Linked DNA regions of Caenorhabditis elegans. The protein of the gene in region 1 interacts with the protein of each later gene in a pairwise test. Each region holds a gene or a part of one and is shown in the gene's direction. Other genes may lie near its edges. The genes, in order: wdr-23 and gen-1.

Region 1 (3,927 bases):
ATTTTCGATATCTCAGAATGCGTAAATAGAAAACCGATCGGCACCCTTGATTAGAATACGGGCACAAGATGCTTTAACTTCATTACATGAAATTGGAATTTTTCAGATCAAAAATGCTTGTGAAAACTGGAAAGGTAGAACAGTGGGTCTGCGAGTAGCCACAAGCCAGAAGCGAATCCATGAAGGTGTAAAAAAACCAGCACTTCTACCAAATCCTCATAATGGACCAACTCCGGGTCATTTTATAAATGGCAATAATCCTTATAGAGTTCGTATGATGCATATTTTAAATTCTGAATTCATTCTAATTTCAGATCGCCGACGCCAGTCCACCTTCGTCAAGTCAGTATCGAAAACGACGTCGCTTCTCCGGATCTCGTCACGAATATCGTTAATCTATGTGTACAATGTGTTCCCAACGGGTGTTAAACAGTTACATGTAATATGTCTCAGGCTTTTTACTCCGAAATTTTATTTCCCAACATTTTACAAACCATTATTTGGTGTAAAATTTTATTTAATTGTTTTCAAATTCTTAAAAATTACTAGTTCCCGTTCAAACTGAACAAGAGATAATAGTAATTTTAATTATTCATTAATGAACTCACAATTTGTCAGTTTCTTTAAAAACTCAATTGTGAAGAATGATTTTTCCTCGTAAATTCGAAAAAAATACTTGGAACTGCTCAAATCTTAAAAAATATTTGAAACACAATTTTTCTAACTTTCTATTTTTAATTTAACATGTCTTCTAAAAGGCTCACAGGCTTATTCAGATGAGTCTCGGTGCACAAAAATGTATTGTAGTTTTGTGCCTGCTTCCTCGGATCTTTTCCATGTAAAAGATAAAATAAAAACGAGGAAACTTTCATTAAAAATGCCAGGAAAATAAACGAAGCTGCCGCAAAAATTAAAAAAAAAAGAATACCATAAATTATAATGCGTGCCGAGACCCATTTGAATAAATGCATGCGCCTTTCAGATCGCATGTCAAAATCTTATAAACGTACGATAACAACTTTTAAATTGTGCTAAACTTTCCTTAAAAATATAAATTTTCCGAAAAAAAAGAAAATTATACAGAAGAAAGTTATAGCTAATAGATGAAATCAATTAATGAACCTTCTTAACTTGATCTCAAAGATCCCTTCCATGGAATAGAACGAAGAAGTCATTCTCATCATCTTCCTTCCAACTTCTCCACCACTCAATGACTACGTCGTACCTCTATACTCTCTTCGTTTCATTCACTATCTTCATTCTCCACATCTGTCTCTCCACACATAACACTTTCGCAGTTAGCCTCCTCGCGGTGAATTGTCATCATTTTTGTCAGCGTGCTGTGCAGAGACTTTGTTTTCTATAGACACAGAGATCGGCTACGCGTTCATCTTTTTTTTTCGCCTGCTGGAATTGTTTGAGTTTCTTGTGAGTGTTTGTGTGTCTCTCTAATATCATCATGTGTTTTATCGAATATTGATTTTTCGTTTCAATTCTTTCGGAGAACGAGTGAAAGACGCGTGAATTGTTTCGCTTTCTGCGTCTACACCGAGCCGGATGGGAAGCCCTGAGGTTCCCGTAAGGGTCAAAACGAACATTTATTCAATTAAATGATGATATTTAATATAGAATCAGTGCCTATTCATGTGAAAGTAGTTTGAGATTTCCAATCTTTTTATCTAATAACATTGTTTGTTAATTATGCAACTTCACAAAAGTCACGTTATCAGATGATCACGTGTTTTAGTGATGCATAAAGCAAAAAAAGAATTTATTGAATAGTTTTCTGAGCAGTTCGTTTAAAATTACTCTTATAATTAAGAATTTTCAAAATGGTTGTTTTCACTTTCTCAGTGGGCGGAGCCTACTTAAGAGGCAAAGGCATCTAATTCTTGTGGAAATTTTCGCAGTATCAATAAGAAAAATATACAGTAGATATTATATTTAGAGACTTGAATTTCCTGCTCTACCAATTTCTTGTTTACCACTTTCTCCTGCCTCTTTCTGATTTCCTGCTTAGTCGGTGCTTCCCAGTAGTCAGCCATATCAACCCTATCATTCAAGTCTCCCTTATTAATTGTCATCAATTTCCCTCTTTACTCGTGTTTTGATGACAATCCCTCACTCATTCACATTCAACCGTCTGTAGTTTTGTGTGTGCTGACAAAATCTGAAAAAAAACTTGTTCTCTCGCTACAGTGCTTCGCCCTATGCTCGAATGGGCAACTGGATAACGTCGACGTTCCTCCGATTTGATCTTTTTCAACGTCATCAGCCCAACCGATTTCTCGAATATACAAGAGGTAAGCGAGAAGAGGAAGTGAGATGCTAGTCACAAAAACTACAAACCACATGTTTTCAGTCCAACACAGCAACCAAAGTCCGGCGTATTCCGTGCGGACAGCTGCAGAAATCGTGGCTCATCAAAGGATGAAACCGGTAGGTTTACTTGATCCATAGGGATATAATATGAAGTTAAGCGAAATTTAAAATGCTTTTGCAAAATTAACATTTATAAAATGTCTATTCATTGAAAATATAAACTCAAATTAAAAGCAAATTATCCTGAAAATCAATAAATAAAAATGTGTAGCGAACACATAGTATGTTGTGTCGTCATTTGTCATCACAAAACATACAAAAAATCAACTGATTCTTCCGCAAGTGGGTGGAGCCTGACAGCCCGATCGCGCCAATCGAAGAGGCGCAGACGGGCGACCTGTCTTCTCTGATTTCCCTCTTACACTCTCATTCTCTCAATTTTTACCGCGCCTCCCTTCCTTTTAGGCCCAAATTTTGCTACATTTCTCTAAATTAATATTATTTTTGTCTGAAAAAACGAATCTTCATTTCGTATTCAACGTCTATGCCTTACAAAAGACATTCCTCTTCAAATCTGAAAAGGGTAAGCTTTGTTGAGTAAACCAATAAAAAAAATGATGCGGAACTTTGTGTTCACTAGAGTGTAGTAATCGGCGTCAATCGATTGACGAGAAACTGGTTTTTTTTAATCGAGATCGTCTAAATTGTTTTGTTTCTTCCTTCGTTTCCTTTGAACTTTTGATCTTTGGATATGACCAAGATTTATCAGGAATTGATAAGAGTGGATTCTATTTGAAAAGTATGTAGTTTCATTGTTTGAGTTGATGATTTTATAATGAATGCAGTATAGTTTTGTTATTTCGAAATTTGATAAAAATTATAAATTAACAGATAAAGACTTCGACTTTCGCTAAAAATTCCATATTTTGCTCTATTTTAGCGGTCTAGCTTTTATCAGAAATAATAAAAGAAAATATATATGAAGCTACAGATAAAATAATCATATACATAGTTCCGTGTTGAAATTGCTCTATAGTCATTTGATTTCTGCAAATTTAAGCATATTTTGTAGGGATGATCATTTGAAGCTTTCTGAAAAAAAAAATGATGACAAACTTCATCTCACTGAACTTTAAGCTCAACATTAAAGATCATTTGAATTGGTTTGTACTATAAGTTCCATTTTTAAAAAGAAGATTTGTCAGAATTTTTGATGACTTTGAGATTTTGGGGGACTTCAACTATAAAAGCCTACAATTAAACTACGAATCATACAATTCCCACCATTTATTCAAGAATTCTGACTACAAACCATGAAGTCTTCTTTTCGTTTTATGCAATTGGTGACCCATGATGACAATTCGCTCCCCCTCGACCTACAGTAACCGCCCGTTGCCTCCCGTGGCTCCACCCTCCTCCTTAACACATTTTCCCGATGTTTAGGAGCATTTTGATGAATTTTTAGAAATTTCATTTCCTTCTTACAAACTAATTCGATTCGTAATTTGAAATTCAAGTAAACTGACTGACGCAACACGGGTCTTCTCTTTCATCACTCAACACGCACATTCATTGGTCACGTGTGAAATACAACAATGCAAAACT
Region 2 (3,927 bases), on another chromosome or scaffold:
ACACTTTCAGGTACCCTGGATTTGACGTTCTTGGCGGCTTTATCGTACAACTTCTCGTCCTTTGTGGTTCCTGACTGAGAAGAAGAACGCTCTTTTGTTTCTTCGTCCTTCAAGTATTTCTCGAAAGTGTAAGAGAATCCGATACCGGCGAGCACACAAACAGCTGGAGTGAGGGTGAGCATGAGACGGACCATGACTCCGGCGAAGTAAACCGCAGACACAGCGTACAGGATAACTGAAAAACGAAATTTTAAAAATATTCATATCCAGAATTGTTTAGACTTACTGAAAACACGCTCATCGTTGACCTTCTTAATACAATACCACAATCCAACTGGGAACACAGCAGCGGTAATATGGAGATCGAAGAAGAATGATACCCAGGTTGTTGGCTGATGTTCAGAGACAGAAGCAATGATTGGAATATGAATTTTCGCGTATCCGGTGTCCCAGAGAGAGTAGAAACGTCCAGAGAATGGAGCGACATATCCTCCCCAAACCAATGCGAAATAAACAACAACGGAGAGAGCTCCCAAAATGGTCAATCCTCCCACAAAGAGAGTCATGAATTGTTGCCGGGTGATGCGGTTGCGAGCGTAGTGCATGAGAGCAACAATTTGAAGAAGACCAAATACTCCAAAAGCTGGCATGTGCTCGGAAGTACGAACTGGTTGGAATCCTACAAATGGAACTTGCATCGAGAGGATGGTGGCAAGGCAATAGAACGATGTGTAGGAAACAAACAGACGGGACGAGTAGCGACCTGAAATAAAAATTTTTGCGACTGATAAATTGCATTTAATTTTTTTTTTAATTACCCATGATGATGAGAGCCAAAGCGTGAAGTGGAATCAAGTTGATAATGAAAACATATCCTCCCCATGCGGAAACCATGTAAAAGTATGAAAGGGCACATAACGAAGCCCACATAATCGATCCGGTCTTGAGCGATTTCACCCATAAATAATACGTGAATTGAAGAGCAAAGATGGCAATTCCCTCGTTATCATAGGATCCAGCAACTGAACGGGAGGTATATCCTGGAGAAATAGCAATGAAGCAAGCGGCGAAAAGACCAGCTCCTGGGCTCCACAACTCCTTTGTAAGTAGATAGGTGGCAATGGCAGTCAGGCCAGAGAATGTTGGAGCCAGAAATACGCAAACTTCACGAATGTGAACATGGAAGTTAAGGGAATCCAAAATCCAGTGAATTAATCCAGATGTTACCATGAGTCCTGGATATACAGTTCCTCCGACAATACGACCAAGTGGATACCAGGCACGCTCATCAAACCAATTCAAGAATTTATAGAAACCATGTTGAACCATATGATGTGTAGCGCGATAGTTAAACCATGGATCGAACTCGTGGATAATCGACTCAAAGCGGACGATGGCGAAAAGGCGGGAGGCGAATCCGACGAACCATGCCAGAGCCAGTACGACGATGGTAAGAAGAGTTGTCGCTCCGACGCGACTACTCGCTGTTCGAGCCGCCGTTGTTGATGTCATTACCTGAAAAGAGAAATTCTTGAGTTTTGAATATAGTTGACGTGGACGAAATAGTCATAGGAAGGAATGAATATTGGAAATTGTGTTTTTTAATAAATAGCTTTTCTCATCACAAATGATTGCAGAAAAAAACAATAACCATTAAATAGATTTTTGGACACGAAAGGTTAAAACAAAGCCTAATATTTTGAGCGCAACTTGCTCCATTCATGTATTATTTTATGTTATTCATGTTACTAATAAAAATTCTCAATGTATTTCTCACAAAGATATCGTAAAATGGCATGAAAAACAAAAGAAATCGAGCAATTTGGAGCCATTCTCCAACGGTGTGTAGTCGTGGCAAATTCAAAAGACGCAAGATCGTGGTGAGACCCGTCCCTCGTCGTCTCTCATGTCGATTTACGCGCACATTAACTGACGCGGGCTCCTCTCTTCCTCTATTTTCGATTATTTTTCGAATTTTCCCTCATTTCCCTCACTTTTAGATGCTACTAGAATGACTATTAACGGGATATGGGAGTGGGCGAACCACGTAGTTCGAAAAGTGCCAAATGAGACCATGCGCGATAAGACATTATCGATCGGTGAGTGATTAAAGTTTAATTTCAAATTTAAAAAAAAAATGTTCAGATGGCCACATTTGGTTATACGAAAGCCTGAAAGGCTGTGAAGCTCATCATCAACAAACTCCTAACAGCTACCTGGTCACATTTTTCACAAGGTAAGAATATTATTTTAAATGTTCCGAAATTACTATATCTAACGTTTTTTTGCAGAATCCAACGCCTCTTGGAGCTAAAAATTATTCCTATTGTTGTTTTCGACAATATTAACGCAAGTTCATCTGCTCATGAATCGGTAGGAAGGAATTGAGTGAAAACGTGTATTTGAAAATTAACTTCAAAATTTCAGAAAGATCAGAACGAATTTGTGCCACGAAAGAGGCGAAGTTTTGGAGACTCTCCGTTTACAAATTTAGTGGATCATGTGTACAAAACAAATGTATGTTTTTTTTTAAATATTATAACCTGTAAATTAGAAAAAAATTCCAGGCTCTTCTCACAGAACTTGGGATAAAAGTCATCATTGCTCCAGGAGATGGTGAAGCTCAATGTGCACGGTTAGAAGATCTCGGAGTGACAAGTGGTTGTATAACGACAGATTTCGATTACTTTTTGTTTGGCGGAAAGAATTTGTACAGATTTGACTTTACCGCCGGCACTTCTTCCACCGCTTGTCTTCATGACATCATGCATCTTTCCCTGGGAAGAATGTTTATGGAGAAAAGTAAGTAGTTTTCAGCGTTGAAAAAATAAAGTAATCGTTAAAAAGTTGTTTCAGAAGTCTCCCGTCCTCATCTAATTTCAACTGCAATTCTTCTCGGTTGCGACTATTTTCAACGTGGTGTTCAAAACATTGGAATTGTCTCGGTTTTTGATATTCTGGGAGAATTTGGTGACGACGGAAATGAAGAAATAGATCCTCATGTGATTTTAGATCGTTTTGCGTAAGCTGTTCTAACTGTGTTTATTATGAATATTTTATTATTATTATTCAGGTCATACGTACGCGAAGAAATTCCAGCTCGTTCAGAAGACACCCAACGGAAGCTTCGTTTACGACGAAAAAAGTATAATTTTCCTGTTGGATTTCCTAATTGTGATGCCGTACAGTTAGTTTTTATTAGAAGTTGCTGTATCTATTTTTTTTTTAATTTTCAGCAATGCAATTACGATGTATCTTCGGCCACCCGTATCAAGTGAAATTCCGAAAATTATTCCAAGAGCTGCAAATTTTCAACAAGTCGCAGAGATTATGATGAAGGAATGTGGTTGGCCAGCAACAAGAACACAGAAAGAATTAGCTCTTAGTATTCGGAGAAAAGTGCATCTGACGACAACTGTGGTGAGCAAATAATTTTAGAATATTCACAAAAATGTATATATTTCCAGGCTCAAACTCGAATTCCTGATTTCTTTGCTGCCACCAAATCGAAGAATTTCACACCGATCGTAGAGCCATGTGAATCACTTGAAGACTACATTTCTGCAAATAATACTTGGATGAGAAAACGAAAACGATCAGAATCTCCACAAATTTTACAACACCATGCGAAACGACAGGTTCCAGACAGAAAGCGATCTGTAAAAATACGGTGAGACTTTGTTGGAAAAATTATGAACATTTGACAATAAAAATTGTAAAACGAAAAATCTATTTCGAAATCACTCAAAATTAATATTTTCGTGCAAAATAACTTATTTTTAAAGTTTGTTTCCCGTTAAAAAAAAACAATTAAACGGTTTTATTGCAGTGCCTTCAAGCCATATCCCACTGATGTCATCGAACTTGGCGACTCGGATTAATATACAAAAAAAGTTCATCCAAATTACTCATATTTCGAATTTAAAA

The links.
Region 2: the proteins of wdr-23 (region 1) and gen-1 interact in a two-hybrid assay, tested with the Caenorhabditis elegans proteins (one study listed by BioGRID).

Annotation. Positions count from the first base shown.
Region 1 is NC_003279.8:7,594,308-7,598,234, forward strand, and holds the start of wdr-23 (DDB1- and CUL4-associated factor 11 homolog), read left to right. Parts: upstream 1-2,199; 5' UTR 2,200-2,218; coding exon 2,219-2,303; intron 2,304-2,362; coding exon 2,363-2,439; intron 2,440-2,706; exon of another isoform or gene 2,707-2,866; coding exon of another isoform or gene 2,867-2,905; intron 2,906-3,927. Other genes in the region: D2030.8 (PC-esterase domain-containing protein 1B), read left to right, coding at 107-268, 315-395. UniProt on the Caenorhabditis elegans protein: Involved in regulation of lifespan. Required for dopaminergic CEP neuron degeneration in response to Mn(2+). Inhibits the skn-1-mediated up-regulation of tatn-1.
Region 2 is NC_003281.10:6,246,232-6,250,158, reverse strand, and holds the start of gen-1 (GEN1 Holliday junction resolvase homolog), read left to right. Parts: upstream 1-2,000; 5' UTR 2,001-2,011; coding exon 2,012-2,099; intron 2,100-2,145; coding exon 2,146-2,236; intron 2,237-2,291; coding exon 2,292-2,373; intron 2,374-2,427; coding exon 2,428-2,517; intron 2,518-2,567; coding exon 2,568-2,802; intron 2,803-2,856; coding exon 2,857-3,022; intron 3,023-3,073; coding exon 3,074-3,187; intron 3,188-3,236; coding exon 3,237-3,420; intron 3,421-3,467; coding exon 3,468-3,670; intron 3,671-3,829; coding exon 3,830-3,881; 3' UTR 3,882-3,927. Other genes in the region: Dolichyl-diphosphooligosaccharide--protein glycosyltransferase subunit stt-3, read right to left, coding at 15-235, 287-763, 819-1,512.